Linked DNA regions of Pelodiscus sinensis. The protein of the gene in region 1 interacts with the protein of each later gene in a pairwise test. Links are inferred from orthologs where the notes say so. Each region holds a gene or a part of one and is shown in the gene's direction. Other genes may lie near its edges. The genes, in order: PGCKA1 and PDCD10.

The links.
Region 2: the proteins of PGCKA1 (region 1) and PDCD10 interact in binary tests that used the Homo sapiens proteins (3 or more experiments, as listed by UniProt). The two-hybrid records come from large-scale screens. The link is inferred for Pelodiscus sinensis from reciprocal best matches to the Homo sapiens genes PGCKA1 and PDCD10.

What each region holds. Positions count from the first base shown.
Region 1 is NC_134715.1:94,229,509-94,245,551, reverse strand, and holds the start of PGCKA1 (PDCD10 and GCKIII kinases-associated protein 1), read left to right. Parts: upstream 1-8,028; 5' UTR 8,029-8,043; coding exon 8,044-8,110; intron 8,111-9,464; coding exon 9,465-9,522; intron 9,523-16,043. UniProt on the Homo sapiens protein: Acts as a tumor suppressor. Acts as a tumor suppressor for colorectal cancer cell proliferation by targeting KEAP1/USP17/ELK1/CDK6 axis.
Region 2 is NC_134720.1:37,048,338-37,063,729, reverse strand, and holds the start of PDCD10 (programmed cell death protein 10), read left to right. Parts: upstream 1-8,436; 5' UTR 8,437-8,573; intron 8,574-15,392. UniProt on the Homo sapiens protein: Promotes cell proliferation. Modulates apoptotic pathways. Increases mitogen-activated protein kinase activity and STK26 activity. Important for cell migration, and for normal structure and assembly of the Golgi complex.

The sequences.
Region 1 (16,043 bases):
CTTGTGGATAAGGGAGAAACAGTAGATGTGGTATACCTAGACTTTAGTAAGGCATTTGATACAGTCTCGCATCATCTTCTTATCAATAAACTAGGCAAACAAAACTTAGATGGGGCTACTATAAGGTGGGGGCATAACTGGCTGGATAACCGTACTCAGAGAGTAGTTATTAATGGTTCACAATCCTGCTGGAAAGGTATAACAAGTGGGGTTCCACAGGGGTCTGTTTTGGGACCAGCTCTGTTCAATATCTTCATCAACAGTTTAGATATTGGCATAGAAAATACACTTATTAAGTTTGCAGATGATACCAAGCTGGGAGGGGTTGCGACCGCTCTGGAGGATAGGGTCATAATTCAAAACGATCTGGACAAATTGGAGAAATTGTCTGAGGTAAGCAGGATGAAGTTTAATAAAGACAAATGCAAAGTGCTCCACTCAGGAAGGAACAATCAGTTTCACACATACAGAATGGGAAGCGACTGTCTAGGAAGAAGTATGGCAGAAAGGAATCTAGGGTTATAGTGGACCACAAGCTAAATATGAGTCAGCAGTGTGATGCTGTTGCAAAAAAAGCAAACATGATTCTGGGATGCATTAACCGGTGTGTTGTGAGCAAGACACAATAAGTCATTCTTCCGCTCTACCCTGCGCTGGTTAGGCCTCAGTTGGAGTATTGTGTCCAGTTCTGGGCACTGCATTTCAAGAAAGATGTGGAGAAATTGGAGAGGGTCCAGAGAAGAGCAACAAGAATGATTAAAGGTCTAGAGAACATGACCTATGTAGGAAGGCTGAAAGAATTGGGTTTGTTTAGTTTAGAAAAGAGAAGATTGAGGGGGGACATAATAGCAGTTTTCAGATATCTAAAAGGGTGTCATGAGGAGGAGGGAGAAAACTTGTTCATCTTGGCCTCTGAGGATAGAACAAGAAGCAATGGGCTTAAACTGCAGCACGGGAGGTTTAGGTTAGAAATTAGGAAAAAGTTCCTAACTGTCCGGGTAGTCAAACACTGGAATAAATTGCCCATGGAGGTTGTGGAATCTCCATCTCTGGAGATATTTAAGAGTAGGTTAGATAAATGTTCATCAGGAATGGTCTAGTCAGTTCTTGGTCCTGCCATGAGGACAGGGGACTGGACTCTATGACCTGTCGAGGTCCCTTCCAGTCCTAGTATTCTATGATTCTATAATTTATAAAACTGACTCTAGAAAAATTCCTCTAGAAAAGCCAAAAAGGAAAAAAACAAAAACAAACATCCCAAGATGAGAAAGTGATTCCACCATCAGCAAGCTTGTAGGCTTTGGTCAAGTCTAAAGTAGGAGTTTGAGGACCTATGCAAGTAAAACCTCCTTGTTGTTCTGGCTCAGAAGGTAGCATAACATGAGGTACCTGCAGTAATAAATATTTTGTAGTATACATTCTGCCCTTACTTGCATTTTACCAATCCTCATCTAATTTTGGGGAGGTCGCAAATATGTAAATAAGAGCAGAATTAGCTGCTGATACCAAAGTCAGAAATCAAGCTTGTCCTCATTTTTCTGGATAAACTATGCACTGCTGATAGTAAAGAAAGCATAGAAATTAGCATCAGACAGTGTCTCTGACAGTGGCCAGCACCTGATGCGTCGGAGGAAGCAATAAGAAAGCTGCGCTATAACAACCAGTTTGTAACAAGGTAGCATGATTTTCTGTTGACTAGCCCACTACTACTGTCATCCTATCATATTTCAGAAATACCTACTTTATCAAGATCCCTTTTTATTATCAGGCATTTTAGTTCACCTATTTTTTAAATGTAGGCTTCTCACATTCATTTCTAGCCAGTTCTAGTTTTAATTTCTGGCTGTGTGCCTATTTTAATTCAACTCTTTAATCTGATACCCTGTTATTTTTCTGGAATGTACTTCTCTGATCTCAACCTGTCCTTTCTATAGTTTAGCTGTAATTTCTGTCCTATCCTTTACTGGATACAGAGACACCTTTGTTCTATTGCCATCCCTTAATAGACGTCTTTGTCTGACCTGAGTGCTTCTTAGCACCTGTTGGCTTTCTTCAGCATTCAAATTATCCACTAAAATCATGTCCATATTTCATACAACAATTTAATTCCATCCCTTCTGTACAGGCTCTTCTTGAGCCAAAAAAATTCCACAGAACCAAATACATTTAAACCCTTCCTCTTTGCACTGTCTTCTAAGCCACAAAACCATCACGTCTCCCCTGTTTAGCTGTTGCTCTATTTGGAACCAGAAGTATTTTTGAGAAAGCTACCAAGGCCAGGTCTACACTGGTGGAGAAAAATCAATGCAAGATAGGCAACTCCAACTATGTGAATTTCATAGCTGTAGTCAACATAACTTGCATCAGTTTTCTAGGACAGTCCCATAGTGTGAGGTTGATGGGAGAAACAATCCCATCAACTTCCTTACTCCTCATCACAGCTACTTTAGTAGACGTGCTAAATCAAACCTCAGATAATCGATCGCTAGAGCATCGATCCTCCAGCAAGTGCAGATGTGGCCTTGGATTTAGATCTTATCCTTAATAAACTAAAGCAGGGTTTCTCAACCCATGAGTCGGGATCCAAAACTGGGACAGATTGTTTCAAAGGTTTTTGTGGCAGCTCCTGTCCCATAAGGCTTGCATTTCTGCTCCAGGCACTGACACCTTTGGGGATCCCAGCGCCATTCAGGAGTGGCCCAGCCATTGTGACAACAGGAGTCCAAGTTGTACAAGTCCGAGTGCCATTGCAACTCCATGAGTCAGGTCATAACTCCACTCACACTTGGTCCACTCAGGCGACCCTAGAGCAGACAGCCAAGCTCAAACAGTCCCGCCAAAAAGGAGCTGCAGGAGGTTAGTGCCAAGCAGGCCCCAGCCTGTTGGGAAGGCAGGATCTGGCTGAAACCATGCCAGGGCCTCTATCCCCACACCATTTACTGGGTCATAATAGGCCATAAATGTTTACAAATGGGTCCTGAGTCTCAAAACATCAAGAACCACTGATCTAAGCTCTCACGCTGAGATAGGCATCAGACAGAGCAAATACACGGAAGTCTGAACAGCATGGGAGTCTGGTGCGAAGAAGAGTGGGATGCTCAAATAAGAACTAGTAGAAGAAAGCATAGCAAAGTAATTACATTAAAAAACCTCAGTGTATCCAAAGGAACTAGAGAAATAGCCATAGATTAGTCAGGGTAGGGACTATGGAGTTCAGTGCACTGTAGCCCTGCACCAATTTTCAATGACCTCAATGGAAAGTCCTCTGTTTACATCAAAGGGAGTTGGGTGAGTCCTAGAGGGCTAAATGCATGACTGTTTGCCTTGTGGCCACTTGTATGCGCCCAGAGCAAGAAACACATATCCCTCAGCATCTTTCAGCCAGAGCTGCTAAATGGGGGGAAACCTAATTATTTATGGAGACATTGTAAAAGGGCACTCTACGATATGCCAACTTCAGAAAAGGCTGTCTTGATTCTCCAGTTGATTAAATCAGTGTCATGACTGAAGGACACATGGAGAGATAGCTGGGTAGGTGGTGACTACAACAGACATTACATGACTTGCCATAACAGCAAATAGGTGGCAGATTTCACAAAACATCTACCAAAACCTCTAGTGAGATCTACTAGGTCCAGAATGGTACTTCAAATATAAAGGGAATACAAGAGGAAGGTCCTGAAAGCCAAATGTAGACTATTAGGACACAAAAACAGTTTAAAGATTGTCATGAAAGGCCATATACACAAGGAACAGCATTGCCATTTTACATCACAATATTTTGACTGTAACTCCATATTAAGCAGGCACATGTTTTAAAATAAAACATTAAAACTTAAGTATGTCTGGTACATATTAATTCCCAAAGCATGCCTCCCTCCAAGCATATCCATACACTGTGTCGAACAAGTTCACTACAAGACATTTTTCTAATGATTTCCTTTAAAAATCCCTGAAGCAAAATAGCAATGGTCCTTTGAATTCCCCAGTCAGGACTGCAGCTAATTGTGTTTCCTAAGTTACGAAGCAGATAATCAGATCCTATGAATGCAGAACATTCTGCTTTTACTGAAGAACATCTAAACTCAGAATCTTAAGAACCTGGGCTTTAGCCCGACCACTGTCTTGGTTTCGTTTACATTTCCAAGCTTCTCCTCACAACCCAAGGACTTGTCACTTCACTTCTTCACTTCACTTCAGCAAAATGCTGAATTGGCTTGCAATGGGTGCTGGGCAAACGAGTAAGCAAGTCCTGCTATTCCCTCCACAAGTTTCAGTAACACTGTGTATCTATAATACACTGAGTCTCCACTACCCTGGAGGATGAGACTCACCATTAGCCCAGGCCATGATTCCCTTTAAGGTGCGCACCTGCACCCCAGGGCTGGAACTGTGGCCAGGGCAGGCTACGTGGTGGGTGGCTCTGGCTGCCGGGACTGCCATGTAGCAGGTGGCAGCAGCAGCTTCAGCAGCCACAGCCGGAGCTGCCATGTGGGGAGTGGCAGCGAGAGCTTGGGCCAGAGTCACATGGTGATCAGCTGCCCTGTCGCAGGGCCGGCCCTAGGGCTGGGCAAACTGGGCTCATCCCCAGGGTGCCACAGCCAGACAGCAAAGGACACCTGGGCATGGGTATTGCTGGGCAAAGGGGGAGGAGGATACTGGGCAGGGGGCATCATGGCAGGACATGCTGGAAGCACAGGGTGGGGGTTGGAGGCACAGCTGGGAGAAAAGTGCAGGGGCTGGGATGAAAGGGGCACTGTGCAGAAGTTAGGGACGAAGGGGACATAATGCAGGGTTAGTGGTAAAGGGTGCACAGGTTGGGAGTGTAGGGGTTGGGGAACCCACGGATGCAGTAACGGTGGGAGCAAGGCTAGGTGCCAAGCTGGGTGGTTTTCAGGGTGGGTAGGTGCAGAGTCATGCACCTTAGAATCATAGAACCTTGTTAATTATCCCTTGTTTTAGTATTTTTCTTACATAATTTAAATTTATATACAAATTTTGTTAGTAACTTGTGGGTGCCAGGGTGGCACACATCCAAAGAAGCACACACAACATCAATATTGGTGCACAAGGCAAAACTCACTCTGCTCACGAATGGAAAATCTTAGAGGGAACACTGGCCCAGGTCCTTCTGAATTGCTGCCAGCATGCCACGCCGGGCGCTCCACGAGTGTCTGAGGGCTGGGGCATGGAGGCGTGTGTGCTGCAGTCTGGGCTACACTATGGGGCTGACTGCCCTCAACCCCACCCCTTCTGCCCTCAGCCCCACGCCTTCCAGGATGTGGAGCTAGCCCCCACACCTTGCTCCAGGGCCCATGGTGGCTGTCAGTGAATGTTACCGATGTAGACAGCTTATCCTGGAACCTTAATCAAGCTGCCATCAATACATTCGAGTCATTCTACAGCCTACTATATGGCATTCATCTGAGCAGGCCACATTAAAGCCTTTTAAATAGTGTCCTAAAAATAATCAGTTTTAAAAGACTATTTCTAGATTGAACTTCCCATTCTAACCCCAGAATTTGGTGAGTAACACTTTCTCCCACAAGAGCCTCATACTTACAGAATATTTTAAAATAGATTGAGCAGCATATTACAATATAATTCATATTATGTTGGAACAATGTTAAAATAAAATTAATCCCATTTGCAGCTGAATGTATTTCCACCTCTCTTCCCACTACATATTATGCCAATAAGCGTGTTTGTAAGAACTCATGCTAAGAACACAAGGCCAGACAAAGTGTACCAAATGGTACAGAAACATGTCCACTGACATATGTAGCACGGGAACACACATTCAGAATCTGACATACCTATTCTTTATTATTATAATTACTGTGAGCAAGCTGACCTAAATTAATACTGCAGCAATGGATTGGTGGATGAGGTCAGACACTAGTAATGCTGGCCAAACAGGATATGCTGGCACACCAGACTCAGCTGCCAATTCAGCTCTGAGCTGGCTTTGTCTGTGCATTCCAGTGATGTCACTTAGTGGTACAGAATCCCAGCAATGTGATCACCCTTGGCTAGAATGACCAACTGTCCATCTTCTGCACACTTAAGTAATAATTGACAAAGTAGTGATATTACAGTGTTATGCAGTATTAGAAACAATAACCAAGGGAACAAAGGATATTAAAATGGGGAAGCAGTGGACATGATGTGACTGTTACTCTCTGAATCAAATATGATTCGCATGCTCTTAGCTTGTCTTTCCCCTCAGCTGTTGGCTGGAACTATCTATTGCCTCTGGTCATATGGTTAAGCTGTAAAACTCTTTAAGAAAGGGTCTGCATTTTAGAGAAGTATGTGGCGGTTAGCTCAAAGGGGCCCTGACACCTAGACACTACCAGATACAAGTAATTAATACAAGTGGTCACTTACAACCTAGGACAAATGAACTTCAGCAATCATGAGAAATTAAAGTAAATCCAGGAAAGGCTTCTGAAGAGGAAGTGAGTTATTTTTATGCAACTGGTATTTGTTTGTCCCATCTGCACACTAGCTAATGATTGCAAGGGATTTACCCTTTGCCCCATACTTCCTTTTAATAATCTAAAATGAAAATGATATTTTAATTTTACATGGTAAATTGTGGGGTGAGATGATTTTCTTTGACTTACTATTTTGGGTGGTAGAACAGGGATCTCAGACAGGACACATTCTTCTCTGTTTTAAAGGTATAATAATGTAAAGGACAGAATTATGCCTCACTATGTTTTACTGATCAGTGTGATTAAGACCCACCATACGCTTTTACTAATTAGCGCCTTACAAGTCTGTAGTCCCTCTAACTTCCTCCATGGAATTGGAAAAGAGACAAATGCCATATAAAAAAAAACAAAGATTTTTGTGACACACACAACACAAGAGTATGAGTGTTTGCTAGAGAAACATTGAGACAAAGACAGACATGAAGAGGAATAGAAAAGCTACTGAGGGAGGGATAGCTCAGTGGTTTGAGCATTGGCCTGCTAAACCCAGGGTTGTGTTCAATCCTTGCGGAGGCCATTTAGGGATTTGGGGCAAAAATTTATCAGGGACCGTACTTGGTCCTGCTGTGAAGGCAGGGGACTGGACTCCATGACCTTTCAAGGTCCCTTCCAGTTCTAGGAGACAGACAATCTCCATTAATTTAATTTAAGTGTTTGAGTATTACACACCATGTTACACAGCTCTTTTCAAAGTGGAGATATCTCAGAGCAGTAACTTGGATACTAGATAACAGCACAAAGACTGTAAGCAAACATGTTAGTCATTAAGGGCCTGTCCTGCAAAGGCAGTGAACATCTTCTGCCTGGCACAGAGCACCCACAATTCTCATCAACCTCAGTGAGACCCAAGGGAGCTCAGTACCTCACAGAAGGCATTCAGCACCAAGCAGGCCCAGGCCCTAAGTACTCAGCAGTAACTCACACATGCAGCCTTGGACATTAGAGCCTAGGGTTGCCAGGTGTCTGGTATTCACCCGGACAGTCTGATATTTTCACCTCCTGTCTGGTAAAAAAAAATTCAGAAAATGCCGGACACCTAAGATGTCCAGTATTTTCTGATTTTTCTTCCCTGGCCAGGAGGCGAAAATGCCAGACACCTAGCAACCCTACAAACACTCAGCACCCGGCTTTCCCCCACCCCCAAACTCCCCAGCAGCCAACAACTCCAGCTCCCTAACCCCATGCTTACCTGTTTCCGCAAGGCTGCCGTCACAAAATGGCTGCCGGCAAAAAGATCAAGGGGAAGCAATGACTCCCCTAGGTCTTAGTGCTCAACCACTCCCCTGTTTCTATCCCTGCACTCACTCTTAAAGGGGACATGCTGTTTTATTTTTGTTATTATTATTAATTATTATTATTACTTAAGTCTTGGAGTCCTTTTTTTTTTTTTGCTCAACAACTTTGGTCTCGCCCCCCCCCCTTTTTTTTTTATTCAACAGAATTTTTTCCCTGTGGGTTTTTTTTGAGGGGGGGACGGGGTATTAGGTATTTTTGTTTCAACCATCTGGCAACCCTGCTAAAGCCTGTTTTATAAAGGGAAGGAATGCTGGACAGGTTAAGAGAGAAAGCTGGAAAGCAGGAGCAGCATTGCAGGAGCACAACACTCTCAGGTACGCAGAACAGCCTTTAAGGGGGCCTCCTTATGAAGGAAGCAAAATAAAATACCTGGCTGGAAAATACCTTCCCTTCTTCCTGGAGAAAAAATAGCTAACATACCACCACTGATGATGCTCAAGGGCTGGAAAAGCTTCCACTGGGGAGAGAAGATCTAACACGGCACCAAGAGAGAACAGGAGGGATTTTACACACAAAGTTATGAGGTTACGGAGCCAGCAGGGCTTAAAATAACCAGGAATGATTATTACCTGTCTTATGAGAAGCTTAGCTAGGCAACCATATATGCCTACTGCAGAAACCATCACTGTGAGTCAGCATGAGCTACACCACACTGGTGTCAAGTCACCTGTGAAACAGCATTAAACAAACATTGTCATGTGCCAGGAAGTGTCTGTCAGTGCTGGGTGGGAACATTTAAACTTTGCTTCCAATGGAAGAGCTTTGCTCATTTGTAGCTGCTGGTCAGGGAGTCTTCAACAAGAGGGGAAAGGTAGACAAAGAAGATGCAACTGTAACACCAGCAGGCGGAATCGAACCTGGGACATCTAGAGCTTAATGCATAAGCCTCTGCCACAGGAGCTAAAACCCTGCGGGTTTTCAGCTCAGACTGTAGAGCAGATTCATTCTCTCTGTAAGTGATCTTACTGCCACAAGGTGCAACAGTACAACTACACCCCACACCCAGAATGTGTGTGGGTTACTAAAGAGCACAAGATATCATGATGACCAGATAAAATCATTAACAGAGAAAGGAAAGGGGGAGAAGGGGAAAAAGGGGGCTGCCTCTCATGTAGTAAGGTCACCACCAAAAATGTACACAATCTGGCAAACTACATTTGCTAAAAATTCTTAATATTATTACTGCATATACAGACACCAATTAGTACGTATTTTTGGACAAATACAGTTCACACCAAATCTTGCCCTGTTGAGCATAATGAGTGGAAGGAGGGATGCTAGCAGGTACAGCATCTGCTCCAGGCATCTTGCCAATTAGCGCAGGTTTTCACCAGTCAGGAGTTGGGCTCCACCTCATAAGGATGCATTTTCTTATTATTCAGAAATATACTCCAAACTGAAGCATGTACCTGACCACGATACATGCTAGACACATCCTTTGACCGAAAGACCATACTCCTCCGTTATTGACCATTGTGGATATGCCAGAAGTAAACCCTTTTTGTAGCATTTAATAGTTCGAAGTAATTTGCAAGTAAATTGTAATAATTAATGTTTGCACAGCATATTGAGGTCCTGGCATGAAAAGCCCGGTGGTGGTATTATTATTATTATTATTATTATTTTGGCAGATTTCTTGAACACACACACACACACATATATTTTCAGGTGTTACCACACAGCCAGATGTTAAAATCATGATCGGTCAACTCCCATTGGCTATTTGGTAAGTATGCTGTAATTTGGGGAATAATTTATTTTTAAATACTAAGAACATAAGAATGGCCATACTGGGTCAGACCAAAGGTCCATCCAGCCCAGTACCCTGTCTGCCGACAGTGGTCAATGCCAGGTGTCCCAGAGAGAGTGAATTGAACAGGTAATGATCAAGCGATCTCTCTCCTGCCATCCATCTCCACCCTCTGACAAACAGGCTAGGAACACCATTCCTTACCCATACTGGCTAATAGCCATTAATGGACTTAACCTCCATGAATGTATCTTGTTCTCTTTTTAATCCTGTTATAGTCCTACCCTTCACAACCTCCTCAGGCAAGGAGTTCCACAGATTGACTATGTGCTGTGTGAAGAAGTAGTTCCTTTTATTTGTTTTAAACCTGCTGCCCATTCGTTTCATTTGGTGGCCCCTACTTCTTATATTATAGGAACAAGTGAATAACTTTTCCTTATTCACTTTCTCCAAACCACTCATGATTTTATAGACCTCTATCATATCTTAATTTTGAGTAACAATTTTTACTCTGAATATTTGTACACCAACAGCAACTGAGTTGCTTAAGGGTTCTGCTGCTTTTCCTTTATTCCCTTGCTGAAGTAATAGTCCTATTTGTGACAACAAAACAATTTCTATGTCCAAATGTTTATGTTAGGATGTTAGATAGTGGGTAAATTAATAGTTGTGTAACCACACAAAATATTATCAGTTACACAACTATTCAATAGCTCCCTGGGGCAAAGCCAGCAGCCAGTGCGGTCCTGGCCTCACTCCCAGGGAATCCCTGCCATCCCACAGTGCTGCCTCTGTATCAGAGGCAGCAGTGCAGGGTGGCAGGTGAGAGCCGGTCTGTATGGGGAGCTGGTTTAAAAACTAGCTCCCCATGCAGACTGGCTCCCTCCCTGCAGCCCTGTGCTACTGCCTCTGTATGAGGTGGGAGCCAGTCTGCAAGGGGAGCCAATTTAAAAAACCAGCTCCCCACGCAGACCAGCTGCCTGCCACCCCGCACTGCTGCCTCCGATATAGAGGCAGCAGCATGGGGTAGCAGCAGCCACTGTCCGTGGGTAAGCTCTCCGTGGACAGGGACTGCTGCTGGAACAACCTCTGTCCACGGCGAGCCTGGGTCTGCCACGAGCAGAGGCTGTTTTGTGTTAGCAGCCCCTGTCCAGAGGGGTCCGAGCTCACCACAGACAGCACTGCTCTGCCTGTAGAGGACTCAGGCTCACTGCAGACAGAGGCTCCTCCAGCAGCAACCCCTCTCTGCAGGGAACTCGGCACACTACCCAACCCCACCCCACAGATAGGGACTGCTGCCACAAAACAGCCTCTGCCTGCGGTGGGCCCAGGCTCGCCACAGACAGAGGCTGCTCTACAGGATGCAGAGCAGCCTCTGTCCAGGGTGAGCCAGGGCCCGCTGTAGGCAGAGGCTGTTTTATGGCAGCCTCCCCCTTCCCACTCCCCTCCGCTGCTGCCTCGGATAGAGGCAGCAGGGCAGGGGAGGGAGCAGACGGCACCATGGAGAACCAGCTACCAAATCAATCTCTCTCTCTCTGGTCCAGTGGTTATTTTATTTATCTCCAATGGAACAGCTCCAAACAGAAGAGCCAGAAAGGCATAGAATCAATCTCCCTGATTCAGAGCAGGGACTTAAACCTGGGTCTCCCCCATACTCCTGAGTGCCTCCAAACAGTCGGCTTGTTCTTGTTTTGAAAAAATGTTCTCAAAGGTTTGGCTTCTGTTCCAGTGTGGAATGAGGCCAATAGAATTCTCATTTGTCAGCCAGCCTGAGTTGTAGACTTGGCAGATCAATTTTGGAAGAGCTTTTGAGCATAGCTGGGAGGGCTAGCAAAACTCAGAAAGAGAGCAGGTCACAGAGGTAAGACAGATGAGCATAATGTACCATTAACAATACACATACACAAAACCCATACAAAAATCTGTTGAGAGTTAGTGTTGCCCAAATGCATTATCTGCTAATGAAATATTTTTAAAACCAGAATCACTACTTAAGAAAATATTTACATACGCGCCAACCTCCAATATACTTTACCACTAAAACACCATAATAAGAGCTGGTTGAATAACAAATAACTATTTTACAAGCACACACACATTATGAAATCGTTTTCATTTTGAAATGTTCAAATGAGATTTTTTATTTTAGGGATTTTCAATTTTTTTATGGAAAACATTATAGAAAATATTGTCAAATGGGCTTCTGAGATATTTAGATTATAAAAATTGCTTCAAAAAAGTGTTTCAAGAAGATTGCTACGCCTCCCACCGAGGCCTCCTGTAACTTCTGTCTGTGGGAAGCTGGGGGGTCCCTGCAGACAGGGGCTCCTGCCAGAACAGCCTCGCCCACAGCCAGCACAGGCTGCCATGGACAGAGGGTGCTTCGCATCAGCCTCCCCGTCCCCGCCCCACGGCAGCCTCTGTCCACACAGAACTCAGACTCCTGTGGACAGGGGCTGTTGCCACCCTGTGCTGCTGCCTATCAGAGGCAGCAGCACGGGGAAGCAAGCAGACAGTCTGAGCAGGGAGCTGGTTTTTAAACTGGCTCCCCTCATGAACCAGCTCCCGCCTGCCAGCCCACACAGTGCTGGGGAGTGGCAGGGCGCTCCCTGGGAGTGGGGTTGGGAGTGCGCTGGCTGTTGGCTCCACCCCCGGGGACTATCAAATAGTCATGAAACCGACAGTATTTTGTGCAGTTACATGACTATTAAATTACCTGCCATCTAACATCCCTAAACAGCACCCATTGTAGCCAAACACAACGGGGGCATCTAGACTGGCAAGATTTTGTGCAAAAGCTTGCCAGCTGTCTACACTGGCCGCTTGAATTTGCGCAAGAACACTGACTTTGTAATGTACAAAATCAGTGCTTCTTGCGCAAATACTTTCACGCTCCCGCTCAGGAAAAAGCCTTCTTTTGCAAGAATACTTGCTCTTGCACAAGAATACTTGCGGAAGAGGGCCAGTGTAGACAGGGAAGAACTGTTTTGCACAAAAAAGCCCCAATGGCTAAAATGGCGATCGGGGCTTTCTTGCGCAAAATCGCATTTAGACTGACCATGGATGCTTTTGCTCAAAAGCACTTTTTGCACAAAAACATCTGTGCCAATCTAGACGCGCTTTTGTGGAAATACTTTTAACGGAAAAACTTTTGACTGCAAAATCATGCCAGTCTAGACACAGCCTTGCAGTGGTGAAGTTCATATATGAAAAAAAATCTCAGGTCATACTTAAGGTTGGGAAAAAGCAAACACAGGATGGAATTTACTGCAAAGTCAGGCTTGAGATTCTGACCTTGCACTGATGTACACTCCATCTTAGTGGAACAATGGAGGAAGAAGGCTTATGGATTAGGGACCAGGGCTCCCTGATAAGCAACTTTTCTTCCTGCCTTTCCATAGTCAGTAGGGGAGAGAGATTTGAGAAGGAGGACAGCTGATAAGTTAGGGAGTCAGGCCAGGGTGAGAGCATAAAACATGAGAAGCTGGGGGATCCAGGCAACTCTGGCAGTATTTCCATGCAAAGCAAAATTAAAAGTGGAAAATTAGGGAACCAGTTCTTTGGGGCACCTGACCCCATTAATGCTCCTGTGCAAGTCAGCAAAGTAGAATAAGCATTTCAAGGGCAGCAGCATGGAGAAGAGACACTGCCAAGAGATGCTCCTCATGCAGCAGACAGAGGTTTGGTTTTTGGTAAAGCAGGAAAAATGCTGCTGCTGCACTTACTTTCCTTACGAAAAAGTGGCAGAAGCAAGGACTGAATTGTGACCTTCAGAGTTACAGCGTGGCCTTTATTCTGCTGTTGGAATGGTGTAACTACATGTTTCCTCCTACTGGGGACCAATTGTGAGGTGCCAATTCAACCATGTGTGTTTAAATATCATGCATAAAAGTGACTTCTCACGTTATACTATGAGACAGAGTGTGGGTGTGCTGAAAGGAAGGTGGAATTTGGGACGATTGTGTTTGTGTGGTTACAGAGAGCCAGAGAAATATGAGACACATCAGGATCAAATTCAGTAAGGGATCATTTAGAAGTCTCTCTCCTGCTCAAGCTAGCTAGTAATTGCTTTTCTTAAAGAAGGTAGTTACATGGAACATTAATTTTCCTCTGATGCGCTATTGTGGTAAATTTCAAGACTTAGTTCCGTTCTTAAAGTAGGAAGTAGAGAGACAAATCTTAATGCAAATTTAACTAGGGATTTCCTACTGATGCTTCCATACCAAACTATGCATAGTTTGGGTTATAAATCAAAAGAATGCTGCTACCAAAGAATTCTGAATCATTTTAAAATTTAAAGAATCTACATAGTTTTAATTTCGCTCTCATTTTAACTTCAACCTGTAGAGTAAACAGGGAGCAATCCAGCAAACCACGTTTAAGCATATTTGTTGCCCAAATGACAGATACTGCTTACGTTTTTGCTGGATTGGAATTCTAAATTTGTGTCTCATTTTTCTTTTTCTATTTCCCTTTTCCTTATTTTCATTACATTTCCTCCCTCCTTTTACTATATGCTGGTGTTTCTCTGCTTAAGATTAATAGTCTCCAACCTTTCTATTCCTGTGTTTCTTCTCTCCTCTTCCCAGCTGTACCTGCTATTCCATAATCTTTCCATTCTTTTCTCACCACTGATTTTTCCCATCTTCCTTATCACTCATTTCTTTGTCTTCACTCATCACTAATCTTCTGCATTACCTCACTCCCCACCACGGACAGCCCTGCTACTCTCTCAGACCTCATACATGTGTACTCACATGCATATTCACAAGTTACCTTTGAAATTCTTAAATGAGATTCTGATACCTATGCAGCACATCATGCGAACCGGAGTTCATACCATAAAAAGCCCATGAGGATATCGTTACTGCCCAAAATCTATTTTGTTTCTTCTCTTTCCTTCCCATTCGTCTGCTCAAATAATCTATCCTCATCCCACACTTGCTTCTGAAAAGGTCAGGTGTTTTGAGGGTGTCTGATGAGGCCTGAGATTGTAATAGAAATTATGAAATATGGCTGGGTTTATCTTGGCAGTGAGGATTAGGCTGCTGGACTTCCTCTCTCATAACCCTAAGCAGGGAGGAGTTGTGTGTTTTGTAGGTGGAACAGGAACCAGTTAGGGAATTCAAACTGGTGCTTTTAATCACTGGCTGGCAGGAGTCTGGGGTAGTGAAGAGACTGTGGGCTAATACAACAGGAAGCAGAAATCAGCAGGGTTTTTCATTGGTTACCTCTGTATCATCTTAACCCAGATGTGCACTGAAGTTATAACACACACCTACTGGTATACTCTTCCATGTAAAGGGAGTCTGTTCTATAGCCTTAGCTGAGCACCAGATGGCTTTTAGCTCATGCACTAAGTTCCAGAGGATCCCAGGTTTGATTCTGCCTGCAGAAGACCAGGGTCAGCTGGCATTACACAGTGCATTAGAAGGGGAGAGGGGGAAATTAGCCCAATGGCTTACTGAAGTAGCCAATATATAGGTAAATGCCTGATTACTTGGTAACCCAGTGGTTTGGTTTAGTTTAGAAGAAGTTCAGATCTTATCCAAAACTTTGGCCTAAAAATCAGACTGTATAATCTTGCAAAAACTCTCTCAGTCTGATTTCTAGTCCTCAGTAGTCTGGGCTGAGTCAAAAATACCATTAGAATGTCTCTCCTGGCATTTGTTTTTTATTCCTGGCCCCAACACCAGGAAAGGAACAGAAACAGTACATTAAAACAACTAAGAAAGGATCAGCCACTTAAAACAATAGTACAGTTTTTAATTTGCTACAATCATTGTTTTGGGAGATAGTGCTGGTTGGGTTTTGTTGCACTGAAATAATTTGCCCTTCCCTATGCATGACGTCTTCTCACTTGTACTTTTTGTTTATCCATACTACATGTCACAGTCTAAATACACAATACAACCTATGTTATTACACAATACAAAAGTCAGAAGTATTACGTTTCTCCCTTTTGTTCAAGCAAAGTGGAGGTTTTTTATACTCTGCCTTGCACTGCACGTTTCGTTTACAGAAGTTATGATACGTTCCTCTCCCTTCTTAAATACATATTTCAAGAAAGGCCTCATTCCATTCTCTTCACCTGCATGGCCAGATTGCAGAATGCTACTAGTAAACACTTAAAAGGGGAATTTTCCCGCTTTTCTAATGTCTGTTTATCAAAGGGGAAAGCATTCCTTCTGTTTCCCCTGAATTCAAGCTGACACTATTCTCTCAATCACCATAAATATATGGTGGCACTTCTCTGACTGTGTACAATGGCAATGTTCCCATATCTTCCGGGGGAAAAAACCCCAACCTCAGTGTTCCTAAATCTCTTCCCTAATGTTAGATTTTCCTCTCTGTCATCAAACAAATCATCCATTTTGATCTCTTGTCAAAATTCAATAGCATATAATCTTAGAGCTATAAACTCACCTCTATTCCTCCTAAGGTATCTGCATCCCTGAAAAAGTAGTATGGTTGTTTTTTCAAAATTTATAACTAAA
Region 2 (15,392 bases), on another chromosome or scaffold:
TTCAAAATAATGGAGAGCTGAAGGACTTCTTACTCTGACTCCTGTAACCCTCGCTTCATGAGCAGTAAGGGATGTCGACGGAAAAGTGTTCTTCCTTCGACTTCCTGCTGCGTAGACAGTGCCAACAGCTGAATTAAGCTATTTCGACTTCAGCTATGCAATTGTTGTAGCTGAAGTTGCATAGCTTAATTCAACTTCTGTCCTGCTGTGCAGATGTACCCTAGTTTAGTAGCTGCCTAGGTATCTCTCTCACTCTCCTCCTCCTCCCCCCCACTTCCCAACTTGGGAGGGTTTAAAAAGGTCTCAGGCAGCCCTGAAATGGAATTCAGCTGATACTAGTTGGTCTGAGGTAGACCCATCAGCTGACCATGACTTACCCCATTTCTAGTTAACAGGGAAGAGGGTATTTTTCCCACTCTACTGCAGCCAACTGGTCTGACTTTGTCATAGCATGTATCATTCTTGCATTTGCTGTTAAAAATATTAAGTGTGAGGATAGCTCAGTGGTTTGAGCATTGGCCTACTTAAACCCAGGATTGTGAGTTCAATCCTTAAGGTGGCTATTTGGGGATCTGGGGCAAATCTGTCAGGGATGGCACTTGGCACCGCTGTGGGAGCAGGGGACTGGACTCAATGATCTCTCAAGGTCTGTTCCAGCTCTATGTGATAGATTAATAACATTATAGAGATATACCTAGGTCTTTCACTTAAAACCATTAGTGTTACTTAAGGAACTTAATGGCCCAGTGCTCAAAACAATGATCTGTGAAGACTTTTTCTTGTAAGCCTAAACAGTAGTTGGTCCAACAAAGGTATGTAACCATTCCAGCTGATCCATCTTGAATTTGTCATTTATCCACAGGGGTGGGGGATGCAGGGAATGGAACAAAGACTTTCCACCCTGGGGAAATTCTTTAAGGAATGGGAAGCCATCGATTATGGTCTTCAGTTGGCTTCAAAGTCTGCTTCTCTCCCCTGCCCCCACAGAGGAACACATGAAAGAACCTTGGGGAAAATAAAAAAAAAAAAAAGAACTCTAACAAGGGGAGTAGCTATTATATTAAGGGTCAGACAAAAGACCAGATCTGCTTTTAAGAATTTTATCTGGAATAAGGATTAGGGTGAGAAATTAGGGTTTGTACCATTTTCTCTTGATGCATTAGTCTTAGCGGTCATGTTTTTTTTAGTTTAGCTTAGCTCAGCAACTTACTTTGGTCTGTTGTCATTTGCAACCACTTAAATCCTTTTATTAAATACACTAACTCGGTTTATTATGAAACCCAATGTAAATTATTACCAGGGGAAGCAACAGCTGTGCATTTATCTTTCATTGATAAAGGGAGTAAACTTTATGAACTTTCTTGCTGTAAAACTTTTACACAGCATAAGATGGATTTGTCTGGGGGTTTGATCCTTATTTGGAGCTCTATTCCTGGGTGCTGTCGAGTCTCTAACTGAGCCCTCCCAGAACTCCCTCCACATCTCTGGTCTGCTGTAGGAGGGGGGAGGTTATCCCAACTCTGTGCTTTACTGGGAGGTCAGAGCTTCTGGCCCACAAAGGCAGGGTGGTGGAGCACCCCAGAGGGCAGGTATGTGGGATCAGTGGTATGATCAGCACATTGGGTGAAACTCTCTAGGAGGATCTTAGCGATGCAACCCATCACACTTTCTCTCTTCCACACTTACGAAACACATTCCAAGACCATGCTCTTGAGATATCTAGCAAACTTCCCTAGTAGCGATCGTATAATTGAATAGTCATGTAACCGCACTCCAGGGGAGCCCCTGCTACTCTGAGGCAGCAGTGCAGGGTAGCAGGGGGAGCCAGTCCACGAGGGGAATCAGTTTAAAAACTACACCCCTCACGGACCAGCTGCTTGCTGCCCATGCTGCTGCCTCTTTACCAGAGGCAGCAGCACAGGGTGGCAGCAGCCCCTGTCTGCGGGGGGCGGGGGTCTGAGCTCCCCACAGAGGCTACTCCATTGGATGCAGAGTAGCTTCAGTCTGTGGGAAGAAAGCAGCGTCTGCCTTCGGCAAGCCCAGACCCGTGGTGGACACAGGCTGCCTCATGGCAGCCTCCCTTGCCGCCTCCCCCGCCCCCTCACTGTTGCCTCAGGGGGAAGAGGCAGGTGGTACCACAGAGCCAGCGCTGGGGACCAACTTTTAAGCTGGCTCCCACCAGCACAAGCTCCTGCTTCGGCCCCCCCACCCCTTCCTACCTCTGATACAGAGGCAGTCATGGGGCCGGGAGGGGAGGAAGAGAGAATGCAAGTAATCAACATGGTGAACCGATAAGTTTAGGGTTCTTGGTGTTTGTCTACTTGACTACTCAGTGACATCTCTATGATCTACCTACTAATGATAAAAAGCAGATCCTTAAAAACGTAAATTTTAACTATCTACATTAACCAAGAAAAAAAAATACTGTCAATGGTTATGACTCAATCTTCCTCTCCTTCGTCAGTGTGCCTCCACTTACTTTAGGGGAAAGATTTCAGATTTAATTCAGCATGATTGGCAAATCAATTTTTAAGTAGTTCCTGACCATCCATCCCCTCCCCCCCCCCATTTTACATGTTCATCTGACTTTACTCAAACCTTCATGTATATGTTTTTGGTGGGATATTTTACAGCAGTATTCTCCCTGCATCTTGGGAGTGTTTCATTTTAGCCTATGTCACTAAGATTAAAACAATTATACATTACTGTTTTAACCTTAATGATAGCTGCTGAACTCACTTGCAGTCTGCTGAGTGTTCAAAAAAAAAAAAAAAAAAAAAAAAAAAAAAAAAGAAGAGGTACTTCCAACTTATTACTAAAATAACCTTTAGAGGTAGCTGATAAAAGTTTTCTACATTGTCAGGATCAGGTTAAAACACCGTATTTCATTGGTTCTCATTGTCTCCATATTTCCCGCATGGAGTAAAGTCATATTGTATCCTCACAGGGTTCTACATAGTTATATCCACTTGTGATTCATGATCTACAAACATGCTCTCTGGATGTGGATATCCATGGATATAAAGCTGATATATGTAGAGTTCTGCAAATCTGCAGATAAAATGTTGGATCTGTATCCATCTGCTATCCACAAACACAGTCCATAGACATAAAGCTGATATTCACAGATTTGCAGGGCTCTGATCATATCACTGGCCTCAGGCAAATGACAGTTTGAATATTGCTTGTTCAACCATTTATGTATACATTTATTTCTTTTATTTTTCCCCATGTACATTGTAAAAAAAATAAAATGTAGCGGAAATAGTTGTGCTTTAGGCAAAAACCACTTAGCATTGTTACCCATTTGACCATTGGCCTATTCTATAGAAGTGCCCCAAACATGTCATAAGACTTGCTTTATAACAAGGCAATCAAATTACAAAGGATGAATATAAGCAAACACAGGAAGGCAGGGGCAAATTAGAAAGGCAAAGGCACAAATATGAGCTAAATCTAGCTAGAGACATGAAGGGTAACAAGACGACATTCTACAAATGTATTACAAGCAAGAGGAAGACCAAAGACAGTGTAAGCCCATTGCTCAGTGAAGAGGGAGAGACAGTCAACAGGAAATTTGGCAGTGGCAAGGGCACTTAATGACTTCTTTGTTTCAGTTTTCACCAAGATGTTTGGTGGTGATGGGATTCCTAACAGTGAATGCTAGTGGAATTGTGGTGGGTTTAGCAGTTAAAATACAGGCAGTTATGAACAGGGCCCTCCCTCTCCCTGGTCTCCAGCAGACCAGGGACGGGGAGGAAAGCGGCGGAACACGCGGGCAGCGGACAGCCCAGACGCGTCTGGGCTGTCCGCTGGCCGCGTGCTCCGCGGTTTTGCTCTGCTCTGCTCCCCCTGGGGACGGGGAGCAAAGCAGAGCAAAGCCGCGGAGCCCGAGGGCAGCAGGATAGCCACAGCGCGTCTGGGCTGTCCCGCTGCCCCCGTTCTCCGCGGCTTTGCTCCTGACGCCTGTGGTACAGCAGCTGGGGCGCTGCCGGTTGGTCCCGTAGCGCCACTCTGGGTGGCGCTGGACCAACCCAGCAGCACCCCAGCTGCTTTGCCCCAGGTGTCCCCAAGTCAGCCGCTGCTGCAACCCCGGGCTTCCTGGAATCAGCTGCTGATCAGTTTCAGCAGCAGCTGACTTGGGGATGACTGGGTTTCTTAAGTTGAATCTGTATGTAAGTCAGAACTGGCCTCCAGATTCAGCCGCTGTTGAAACTGATCAGTTTCAGCAGCGGCTGAATCTGGACGCCAGTTCCGACTTACATACAGATTCAACTTAAGAACAAACCTACAGTCCCTATCTTGTACGTAACCCGGGGACTGCCTGTAATAATAATAAAAAAAGAACCAAGTGAAAAACTACTTAGAAAAGTCAGATGTCTTCAAGTCACCAGGGCATGATGAAATACATCCTAGAATACTCAAGGAGCTGCTAGAGGAGATATCTGAGCCTTTAGCTCTCATCTTTGAGAAATCATGGACAGCAGGAGAGATTCCAGAAGACCGGAAAAGGGTAAATATAGTGCCCATCTATAAAAAGGAAAAATAAGACCAATCCAGAAAGCTATAGACCAGTCAGTTTAACTTTTGTGCCAGAGAAGATAATGGAACAAGTAATTAAGGGATTCATCTACAAACCTCTGGAAGATAATATGGTAATAGAAATCCATGCTGGCTGTTGCCTACTACCATAAGAACAGCCATACTGGGTCAGACCAATGGTTCATCTAGCCCAGTATCCTGTCTGCCGACAGTGGCCAATACTAGATGCCCCAGAGGGAGGGGGACAACGGGTAATCCTCACATGATCTCTCCCATCATCCAGCCCCGGAGAAACAGAGGCTAGGTATACCATTCCTACCCATCCTGGCTAATAGCCATTGATGTACCTAACCTCCATGAATCTATCTAACAGGGTTCAAAAAAGAGCTGAAGTCCTAACCTTCACCATGTCCTCTGACAAGGAGTTCCACAGGTTGACTGTGTGCTGAGTGAAGAAAGAACAAATTATGTCAAACCAATCTAACAGCTTTCTTTGAAAGGATATCAAGTATTGTGGTTCTGTTCAATATCTTCATTAAGTATTTAGATGATGGCACAGAGAGTATGACTATTAAGTATGCAGATGATACCAAGCTGCTTTGGAGATAAGGTCAAAATTCAAAACAAATTGGACAAATTGGAGAAATGGTCTGAGGTAAACAAGATGAAGGTTAATAAGGACAAATGCAAAATACTTCACGTAGGAAGGAACAATCAGTTTCATACATACAGACGGGGAAGCGACTGTCCAGGAAGGAGTACTGTGGAAAGGGATTTAGGGGTCATAGTGGACAACAAGTTAAATGAGTCAACAGTGTCACACTGTTGCAAAAAAAAGCAAACATGATTCTGGGATGCATTAACAAGAGCGTTTGAGCAAGACACGCAAAGTCATTCTTCTGCTTACTCTGTGCTGATTAGGCCTCAGTTGGAGTATTGTGTCCAGTTCTGGGCACCACATTTCAAGAAAGATGTGGTGAAACTGAAGAAGATCCAGAGAAGAGCAACAAAAATGATTAAAGGTCTAGAAAACATGACCTATGAAGGAAAGCTGAAAGAATTGGGCTTGTTTAGTTTAAAAGATATAAGACAGAGGGGACACAATAGCAGTTTTCAAGCATCTAAAAGAGTGTCACAAGGAGGAGAGAGAAAAATTGTTCTTGTCTTCTGATGATAGGACAAGAAGCAATGGGTTTAAATTGCAGCAAGGGAAGGTTAGGATGGACATTAGGTAAATCTTCTTGTCAGGGTGGTTAAATACTGAAATAAACAGCCTAGGGAGGTTGTGGAATTTCCATCACTGCAGATATTTAAGAGCAGGTTGGATAGATATCAGGGATGATGTAGATCATGGGTTCCCAAACTTTGGGGATGCCCCCTGGAGGTGCATGAAGAAATTCCAGGAGGGGCACAAGACATCCCAGCCCCTTCCACCCCCATCAAGTTTTGCTGCCCTGGTCAGTTTTTTTTTTTTTGCGCTCAACAATTTTGCTGCTAATTTTTTTTTCGGGGGGGGGGGGGGGCGAAAATGAGGGGGTCTCAAAAAATCAAAAAGGGGGCATGAATATAGAATATTCTTCTATATTTTTAAACAGAAGTTTGCATTATTAAACAACTTAATTTAGAAACACACAGTTTATTGTCCTTATGCACATGTAAGAAACAGTTTATGTCTGTCTCACCCCCTCCGCCCCACCCACACATCCTCCCATTGATTTGTTTTGTGGACTCTGCAAAGCACAAGACACTTCACCCAATCCGTAGCCCTCCCCCCCATCCCTTCATAGGGCTTACCAAAACAAGACCTACCATTACAACTATAGAAACAAATGTTTTTGGGATGCCAAATGAAGTTAAAAGCTATTAATGATATTAATATTTTTGCACATTACACAAATTTGAGGTCTTCCTCATCAATAATTAGAGATGTGCATTAATTGGTGTTCAATGGATGACACAAAGGTTAAAAATAAAACAAAGCAGGGCACAGTGAAGGGAATACCTTTATTTTCTAATTAGAGCATACCACTGAGTTACCATCCTGTGTATGGCTTTCATTATGCATTCAGTTATTGGGACCTAACAGGTGATGCACGGTTCCATGTTGTGTTGTAGTTCCAAATACTTGAGATCTCTGTTTCTACACTGCAAAGTTGGAGCTTGTATGGCATGTATGGTGTTCCATAGACAGTCCCTTTTTGTTGCTAAAGGGAAACTATTAACCATTGGCTATATCATCACTTACCCATTCATTCAGCTGTTGTAAGCCTTTCATAGGAAAAGTGCCATCATTATCATTTTATACAGTATTCTTAAACTCTTTACATAGAGGTAACAAATTTAAGACACCTGAATTTAAAGCCAAATTTTTGACATGTTTAAGTTTTAATGTTAAAGTTCAAAAGCTTTTCTGTAACAGTAGCTCTTAGTAACTAACCAATGTTAGCATGGCTTAAACAGGGAAAAGGATGGACTTAGAACAATGATATGATTTTGACCTTTACAGTACCTTTGATTTAAAAATATGAAATTGCTTTACATAATTATAATACTTTTATTAATAACAAGTGTTACATACAAATTAGTATCTAAAATAATTAATATACAAATAGTCTGGTAAATATACATTGGCAGAGGAGGCTAGTCATTCTATTGAGATGTCAAGAGATGTGTGAGATTCTGAAGGAGGGAGATTTCAGATATGGCGTGTTGTGTATTTTAGTCACAAAATACAAAAGTCTTCTGTTACAAAGAGAAAGTAACTTTATACTCAAATTGAAAAGTTTTTCTACTGATAGGGTACACTTACAAACTACATATATGCACACACAGATTTTTTATATATATATATATATATATATATATATATATATATATATATATATATATATATACACACACACACACACACACACACACACTAAAGTATCCACCTGTTTTAAATACTACCTCTGCACTCATTCTCAAGTAATTTAAAAGTGAACACCTATAATTAATTTATTTTATTTCTTTTTCAGTTTTAAGAACTTCTTCAGAGTTCTAAATAGCTTTGCTGTAGAAAACAACACATCCTGAATCGTATCAACAAACAACCGATGCTGGTCCCAGTTTACAGTAATTGACACAGTCGTAAGGCAAGTACAACAAATCCACGACTCCGTTCTACAAATCTATAAGGGATGTGCATACACAGTCTATAAAAAACATTAGAGCGTGAAGAAAAACCGTTTTATTTAATACGGTAAAAGATTTTAGGGGTGGCGACCAACCTATCCCTAGACGAGGTAACAAATATCGACAGCCGGAGCCAGGAATTTATTTCACACGTTGTGAGCGAGCTGTCTGAACAACTGACAAGTGAAGTGGGTTTAAAGCACTCACACATACACTGCACACGCACCAGTGTTCAGCCATAGTCAGAGGGAGACTTTCCAACAGCTCCCTACAAATGCAACGCAAAGTCAATGGACGTGCAAACATTTAGCATGCAACAAAACAGAGAGTCGGCGAAAAAAGGATTTCCTAGGGCGAGGAGCCCACCGCAAGCAACCAGGTCGCCCGCCCAGCCAAGTAACTGATAGCGCTTACCTCCCTCGGAGCGGTTCTGCAGCAGCTGCGAACGCTAGAACGGGGAGCCTGCCGGTGTTGGAGCAGCCTGTGGTCCAGAGACCGCTTCAGGAATTGTTTCTGTGGCGTCTGCCGACGCCTGCAAATTCTCACGCCTGCCCCGCCCCTTTCGGGACCACGCCCCCTCGTCTAGTCCGGCACTCCAATTGGGCTAGCTCTGCGACGACTCCTCCTCCAACTCTTCCTACTCCCCCCCTTCTACGCCGCAAGCTGGCCCTCGCGTTGCCTTGTGGGCGTTGTAGTCGTGTGGAACGGCACTACAGGTCCCAGGAGCCCATGCGGCTTGCAGGTTGGTTCCGGCAACGCCTGGTGTGTGTGGTCACCGCGGGGAACGTTTCCGTCTCGCAGGCACTTCCGGCAAGGCAGCGGAGCCCACTCTAAAGTCCCCGAGGGGTGGGGGGGAGGTAGGTACCGGGCTGTGTGTGCCCCCTTTTCGGAGGAGGGGGGGACGAGGCGCTCGGTGCCCACGGCTCGGGCAGGGTCACTAGTGTGTTTGTGTAGGGCCTGCTGATTCCCTCGCGGCTGCGCTGCGCTCGGGGCGTAGGGCGCCTTGGAGAATCCGGGCCCCGCCTGAGGGTCACGCTCAGAGGGGCTGTGGGTCTCCAGTGGGGCGGGGCAGGCCACGCTGTGGAGGAGGGGCTGGCCATGCCCAGGGCCTGGGCTCCTAGGGCTGGGGGCGGGCGTCTCCCCCCGGCAGAGAGCAGCAGGCGGAGGTCAGCCCGTGCAGGTGCACAGCCGGACCCGAGCCCGGGGAGGCTGCCCTTCGGCCCTGTCGCCAGGCTTCGCTCTGCCCCCGCCGCGTGCCGGAGGCTAAGGGTGTAGTGCTTCTGGCTGGCGCTGTTCCGCACCCGTCTCCCCTTTGGGCCACCTCTAAGGGGGCCCGATTTTCGGACGGAGTAGTTTCTGAATGGCAGGCTGAGCATCCTCCCTCACTTGGAAAAAAAAAGTCTTGGTCTGAGTGCATCTCTTGTGTGCCCTTGGCATGGAATGTTTGGAAACGGGGCCTTGGTTTGATTTACTAGTTTGTAAACTATTTTCAGGACCTAATGATAGGAGCAGCTTCTCTTTTGTAGTTGGTTTGGTTTGGGTTTGCGGGTGGGGGTGGTTGTTTTTTGTAACGCCAATCTTCTAGCAGTGTGTATGAGAAGCCGAAAGTGAAACTGACCTATTTGTTATTCCAGTTTAATAAGTGGCAAAAAAAAGCAAACAACGTGAATGATTAGTTGCTTTTTCAGTTTAATAATGGAAGAGGAACATAAGGAAAACTTAAAACAGGCGAATTTATGACCTTCCAAAGTGTCTACAAGCAGTATCTGTAACTCATGCTTGGTTGATTTCCCCTCCTCCAGCATGACAGTATCAGGGTCAAGCTTTTGTGTTGCTTCTGTATTACAGGAAATAAGTTCACCTGAAGAAGATCTCTGTGTGGCTTGAAAACTTGTCTCTTGCCATCAGAAATTGGTCCAATAAAAGATTCCCTTCTTGTGTCAGCTTCACAATTTACTTGGTGGGCTGGGGTAATATTGAGATTAGTGTTACATAATGGTTTTTCTTAAATATCTGTTCTATTTTACTTTCTAGCTGCACCTGATTAAATCTCAGAGATAGCAACAGTAGCTTTATGTTCAAATTCCAGAGACTGAATAGGTAGAGAGAACTTGATCTAGAAACTGGTGTATATTGTCACCTTCTCCATGTTCATTGCTGGGATTACATTGCATCCATGATGATAATCTGTTGCTTTACTAAATAAAGGTGTGGGATCTTTGCCGATTTATACTTTATGCAGTCACTTTAATTTGACTATGTACAGAAATTGGAGCCCACCCTAAGATGGCTTTCTTGTGTAAGGGATAGATAGAGGTAAACATAGTTCACTTTTAAAACATCTGCCTCTTGACTGTGAGGTGTTAATCTCACATTGGTGTTCACCATTTCAGAATAATGTATTTATTGGAATGGGAGTAAATTGCAAAACTGGTGAGATTCAGATCAGTTTTTTAATTAAGTAGACTGTAGGGATGAGTAACCAGTTACCCAATAAGCATCACCTTTACTGGGTGATCCTTACCGGTAACTGCTTAACCAGTGGCCCAGCTGGGCTAGAGCAACCACCTGCCCACAAGATCCTGGTTAAATAGAACGTTTAACATTCTTTTTAACTGGTTAACTTTTTAACCAGGATTTTACATCCCTAGAAAACCAGTGGTTTGAGTTCCAGGGACAGATATTCATGTTTCCTTTAAATGGTTTGCACAATCTAAATGGTGGCAGTCAGTCATATTCAAAACAATAAAGTGTACCTGATTTCCGATATGCAGTTACATTTTTATTGTAAGTGAACACAGTTATATTTATAAATGCTTCTATGTTTTCTATATAAGTATAACATTTTTGGAGACATGTCTCAATAATGACTGTAAGGATATAAATTACCTGATTTTAGTTGGTTTTGCCAAGCACATAAAACTTTATTGAAATAGCTTATTGTCACATAGCTTAAGTGTAGCCATAAGTGGAGGATCTTTACTTTTGGAAAGTTTTTGCATAAACCAGTTTTGAAACTTTAATGGGGTATTTCACTTTCTGAAAACATTCTTTTAGTTCCCTGATCAATGAAACTGCTCAGTGTGTGAGGCAGGGTAGGTGAGAATCTATACAAATAAATGCTTATTCCTTCTTTTATTTTATTTTCACTCAGATTAGCAAAAATTTAATTACAGTGGCTGAATTTGTCTTGGACTCATGTTTGGTAAAATCATTCAATGTTGTTCCAGTGAATGCAACAACATTTACTCTAACTAAACTAAATTTTCATTCAAAAATAACAGGTCCTTCAAAAGTGCATTGATCAGGAGGTTTGCTGCAATTTTTCCTGAAATGAAGAAAAATTTAGTATAGTGGCTTATATTTTGTCCAGAGTTGGTTAATCATTTACAAACCTGAGTACAGTTTAGTTACTCATAAAGTTGAAACATGATTAAAACAAACCAATGTTATTTTTCATCAAATCACAAACATTGCCACCTTGCCTTCACTTGGTGGCTGAATCAAGCTCCTCCTGATAGGAAATTTCTGATTACAAAGATAAAAGCCAAGCTTCCTGATTCTATGGATGGAGGATAGGGTCTACTCAGGACAAATGTTTTTTCTCTAGTTGAGTTTAAGCCAGTGACAGTAGAAATGTTGGGGGTTATTGTTCCTCAACCTGACCTCTTTTGAATTTTTTTTTCTATCTAGAGAATTTGAGGAACCAATTAGTGCTTCCCATAGTGAGGGTAGGATGGTGACTTTTCTGAGGAAATTTATTACTCAGCCTCTGCTCAAGAAATCAACACTTGACATTGGAAATCTGCTAAATTATTGTCTGATGTCTATCTTCAATTTTTGGAAAATTGTAGTGATTCAATTTTGAGTACCTTGATATCTTAGATGATCTTGACCTGAAACTACACTGATGATATTGATTGACCTCCTGCTGGTAATAGATGGGGATTAATGCATGATAACTTTTTCTATAGTTGATCATGAGTTGATGAGATATAGCCTCATTTTTTTTACTGAAATTTTCTAAAAAGTTATGCTAGGCAACTGCCTTTCCATACCCAATGGCACTATCATACAGGTTATAGAACACTGGAGTTCTGTCTTCCCACTTGGGAAGATTATTGAGGAGAGGTGTGGTATGTGGTGGTGATCAGTAAACTGATTTCTGCTGCTTAGCCTTATGTTTGTGGGTATGGATGAAAATAAGATGCTGAAGTTCAATCTGGATAAGACAAAAAGCAATGCTGGTAATTAGAGGGGAGCAGTTACAAGACAAAGTCTCTTTTTATTGAGGATTGATATATTCTATTTGTTAGTAGATATTGCAAAATGGAGTTGGTAGATACTTGACTAATGAGTAACAGTGTCTAGGAAGAAATTACAGCCCCTTCCCCCCCCCCCCCCATCTTTGCTAAGTTGTGAGAGGGCCAATTTGTTGGGATGTAGCCTAGGGATGTAAGGGACTAATCAACTATCTGATAAGCATAAGCAGTCAGTTGATTAGTGACTCTTTAGTTGCTCCCTCCTTCCCTCCCTGCACTGCATCTATCAGAGGCAGCAAGGGGGGTGGGGAGCAGGAGCTGGCTTAAAAGCCAGTTTCCCCTCAGCACCGTCTCCATGGCAGGGGAGACAGAGCCATGGCGGGGGACTGGGTGTAAGCTGATTCCCGGCTTGTGCCCAGTCCTAGAGCTGTGTCTTTGCTTTTTAAATATCTTAAGAGCTGGCTGGCTCTTAATGCATTTAATAGACTGAAGCACAGCTTGAGGAACCAGGCACAAGCCCGGAATCAGCCTACTGGCTCTCAAATCATTTAAAAGGCAGAGCTGCAGCAGGGTTAGCTCCCGGTGCTAGGAGCTAACTCTGCTCTGGCTCTGCAGTTTCCTTTGCTTATCGTCTAGTCCAGTGTTTCTCAACTTTTTTATAAAGTATCCCTTTTTAAAAAAAAAAAATTGTAAGTACCCTCAGGGTACAGTTTTTAGACACACACAATTTTTTCTAACATTGCAACACATTTGTTTAAACAACTTAATCACAGCTGGGTGGGAATGACATTTTTGGGTGTAAAAATTCAAAAATAATGAAGTGCTGTAAAATTTAAAACACAAATTAAGTTTTCTCCAAATTTCAGTTGACGTTACCTCTCTTCTCCTCCACCCCCCCACCCCCGACTTCTCTCAAGTACCCCTAAGGGTACTTGTACCAGTGGTTGAGAAGCACTGGACTAGTTGATGGACACTCTATTGACTAATCAAATTGGTTGTTTAAACACAATTTAACATTCCTAATATGGACCATGCCACTGCAGTCCATGCCTTTGTCGCTTTGAGGTTACAGAGTTTTACTACAGAGGGAACACCTTTTTAAGATGTACTGAAAACTGTTAGCTGGCACAGGATGCAGCAACCTGCATCTTAAGTGGTGTATCTTGTATGTAACATGTGATATCAGTGCTTTGTGAGATGCACTGAGTTCTTCCTGGTTTTCGGGTTAATATTTGGTGCTTGTGTTGGAGCTCCTCTGTATGAAAAAGCAGGACCTAGAACAGACTTTTTGTGAAGGGCTTTTGGCTCTGGGGCATACCTTTTTTCCTTCCCTTTCTTTTTAACCCTGAAGTCTGAATAACCTGATTTTGTTCATCTTCAAGATAGCTAGAATTTTGGGGGTGGAAGCAGCACAATAAAACTCCTGGCTTTGGAGTGTGGAATGGATAACCTGCTGGCTTTACTTCTGACTTGATTGAATTTGCCAATAATTAAACATACATCTACAGATTAGAATAGTCTTGTTTGTATAGATGTATGTGTGCTTATGTTTAATAAGGATTTAGTAAGGTCCACTGGGAAAGCAGTGTTCTAAGTTTTGTAAATTCAAAGATAAATGAACCTGAATTGTGTTGGAAATTTAGAATTTTCATGAACTACATGGTAGCTGGGCTTGTAACTAAGACGGGTTCCCCAGGTGTGACAGATTTCACATCCTACCTCATTTCTATTCATAAGAGCTATAGATCAGTGCTCCCTGTAACCTGAGTGCTTGGGAGACCACCCAGGAGCAATTCAAATGCTGCCTACCTGATTAGGAGAGCAGTCATAACCAGCAGCATTTATGTCTACTGGTGGAGTACATCCACATGTGCCTCAGTGCACATAAAATGTATTCTGCACATGGATGGGAAAATTAAAGGGAACAGTGACTGTCACAGATAGTAAATGCACTGTCCTGTGACTCCTCTACCACAGGGGTTCTCAAGCTTCATTGTACCAGAACCCTCTTTTGGCAATCAAAGTTACTACATAAGCCTAGAAAGAAGGACCAAAGCCTGAGCCTGTCCAAGCCCCACTGTCCTGGGTGGCCGAGCCAAAGCCTGATCTGCACCACCTTGTGGAGGATGAAAGCCCAATGGCTTTAGCCCCAAGCAGGGGGTTTGCAACCTGAGCCCCAGAGCAGAATAACAGCTAAGCCAGTTCTGACAATCCCATTAATATGTGATCCCAACTTCTGGTTTGAGAACTGCTGGTCTGCCATACTGGTTCAGATATTCAGCATTCCATCAGTCCATCTTTCTGCAATGGGCCATAGATAAGATTGCATCTTTTTTTTTTTTTTTTAATGTACCATTGAGTCAATACACTTCCACCATCATCACCAGGTGATGAGCTGGAGAGTCAACTTCCTGGAGTAGAGACAATATCCTGTGTGTTTTGCAGTGCCAGGTGTGCGCCTGATTCTCTAACTATCTTGTTCTGACTTCCTTTTCTGGCGCTCGCTCTATCCTAGGTTTTTGTATTGAACGACTCTCATTACTATGCTAAAAACTTAAAAAACAACAAATAGTCTAGTAGCACTTTAAAGATATATGGTCACCTTAAAGACTAACAAAACATGTAGATGGTATCATGACTGTTTGTGGGCAAAACCCACTTCTTCAAATGACTAGCATTACCATTCTAAGCACCTGTCCTTTTAGGTAGGCAAATTTAGATTCTTTGGTGGTTCTTTTTTGGGATGGGTTTTTATTTTAGGGAGCCTGGGATTACTGGTTTAAATGTAATTGTGGAAAAACTTTTATCAAGAAAGTCTTGCAGCATACCCTGAGCATGGTCACTGTCTGCGTTAGTCTAATATTCTCTGGAAGTTTGTTCATCAGCTAAATTCCCTTAATTGGATGCCTTATTTTCTGTTCACCTGCTTGATTCTGTACATTGTGAACTGCAATGTTGTAGACAAATGCAGCTGGTTGCACATGAACAAAGGAGTCTCTACTGTAGCTGAAATCTGGTCCATTAACAACTTTAAAAGGTAGAAGCCAGCAAAAGCAGAGTAAGTCAGTAGAGGGACTGAGATACAGGTTTGAATACAGATTGGAGTTTAAGCTAATAGTTTTCATTGTTATGGGTCGCAACGCAATGCTGGGTCATGGAAAGTCAGGCACTGGGTTGCTTTGCTGTAGGCTGATGAGGTGACCAGCCGTGATGCTAAGGCCAGCCTTCTGAAAGCAAGCAGCCGCAGGTCCAGCTCATAGGTGAAGGCAAGTAGCCCACTCTCACAAGATTAAAAAAGCAAGTCAAGCCTACTTCAAAACAAGCCCAAAATGAACTCCTTCCATTTTTGCTCAGCAATGCCTGGTGCCAAACCAGGAACTGGCCAATCGGAATGTGGAGCCAAAGCTTTGGGCA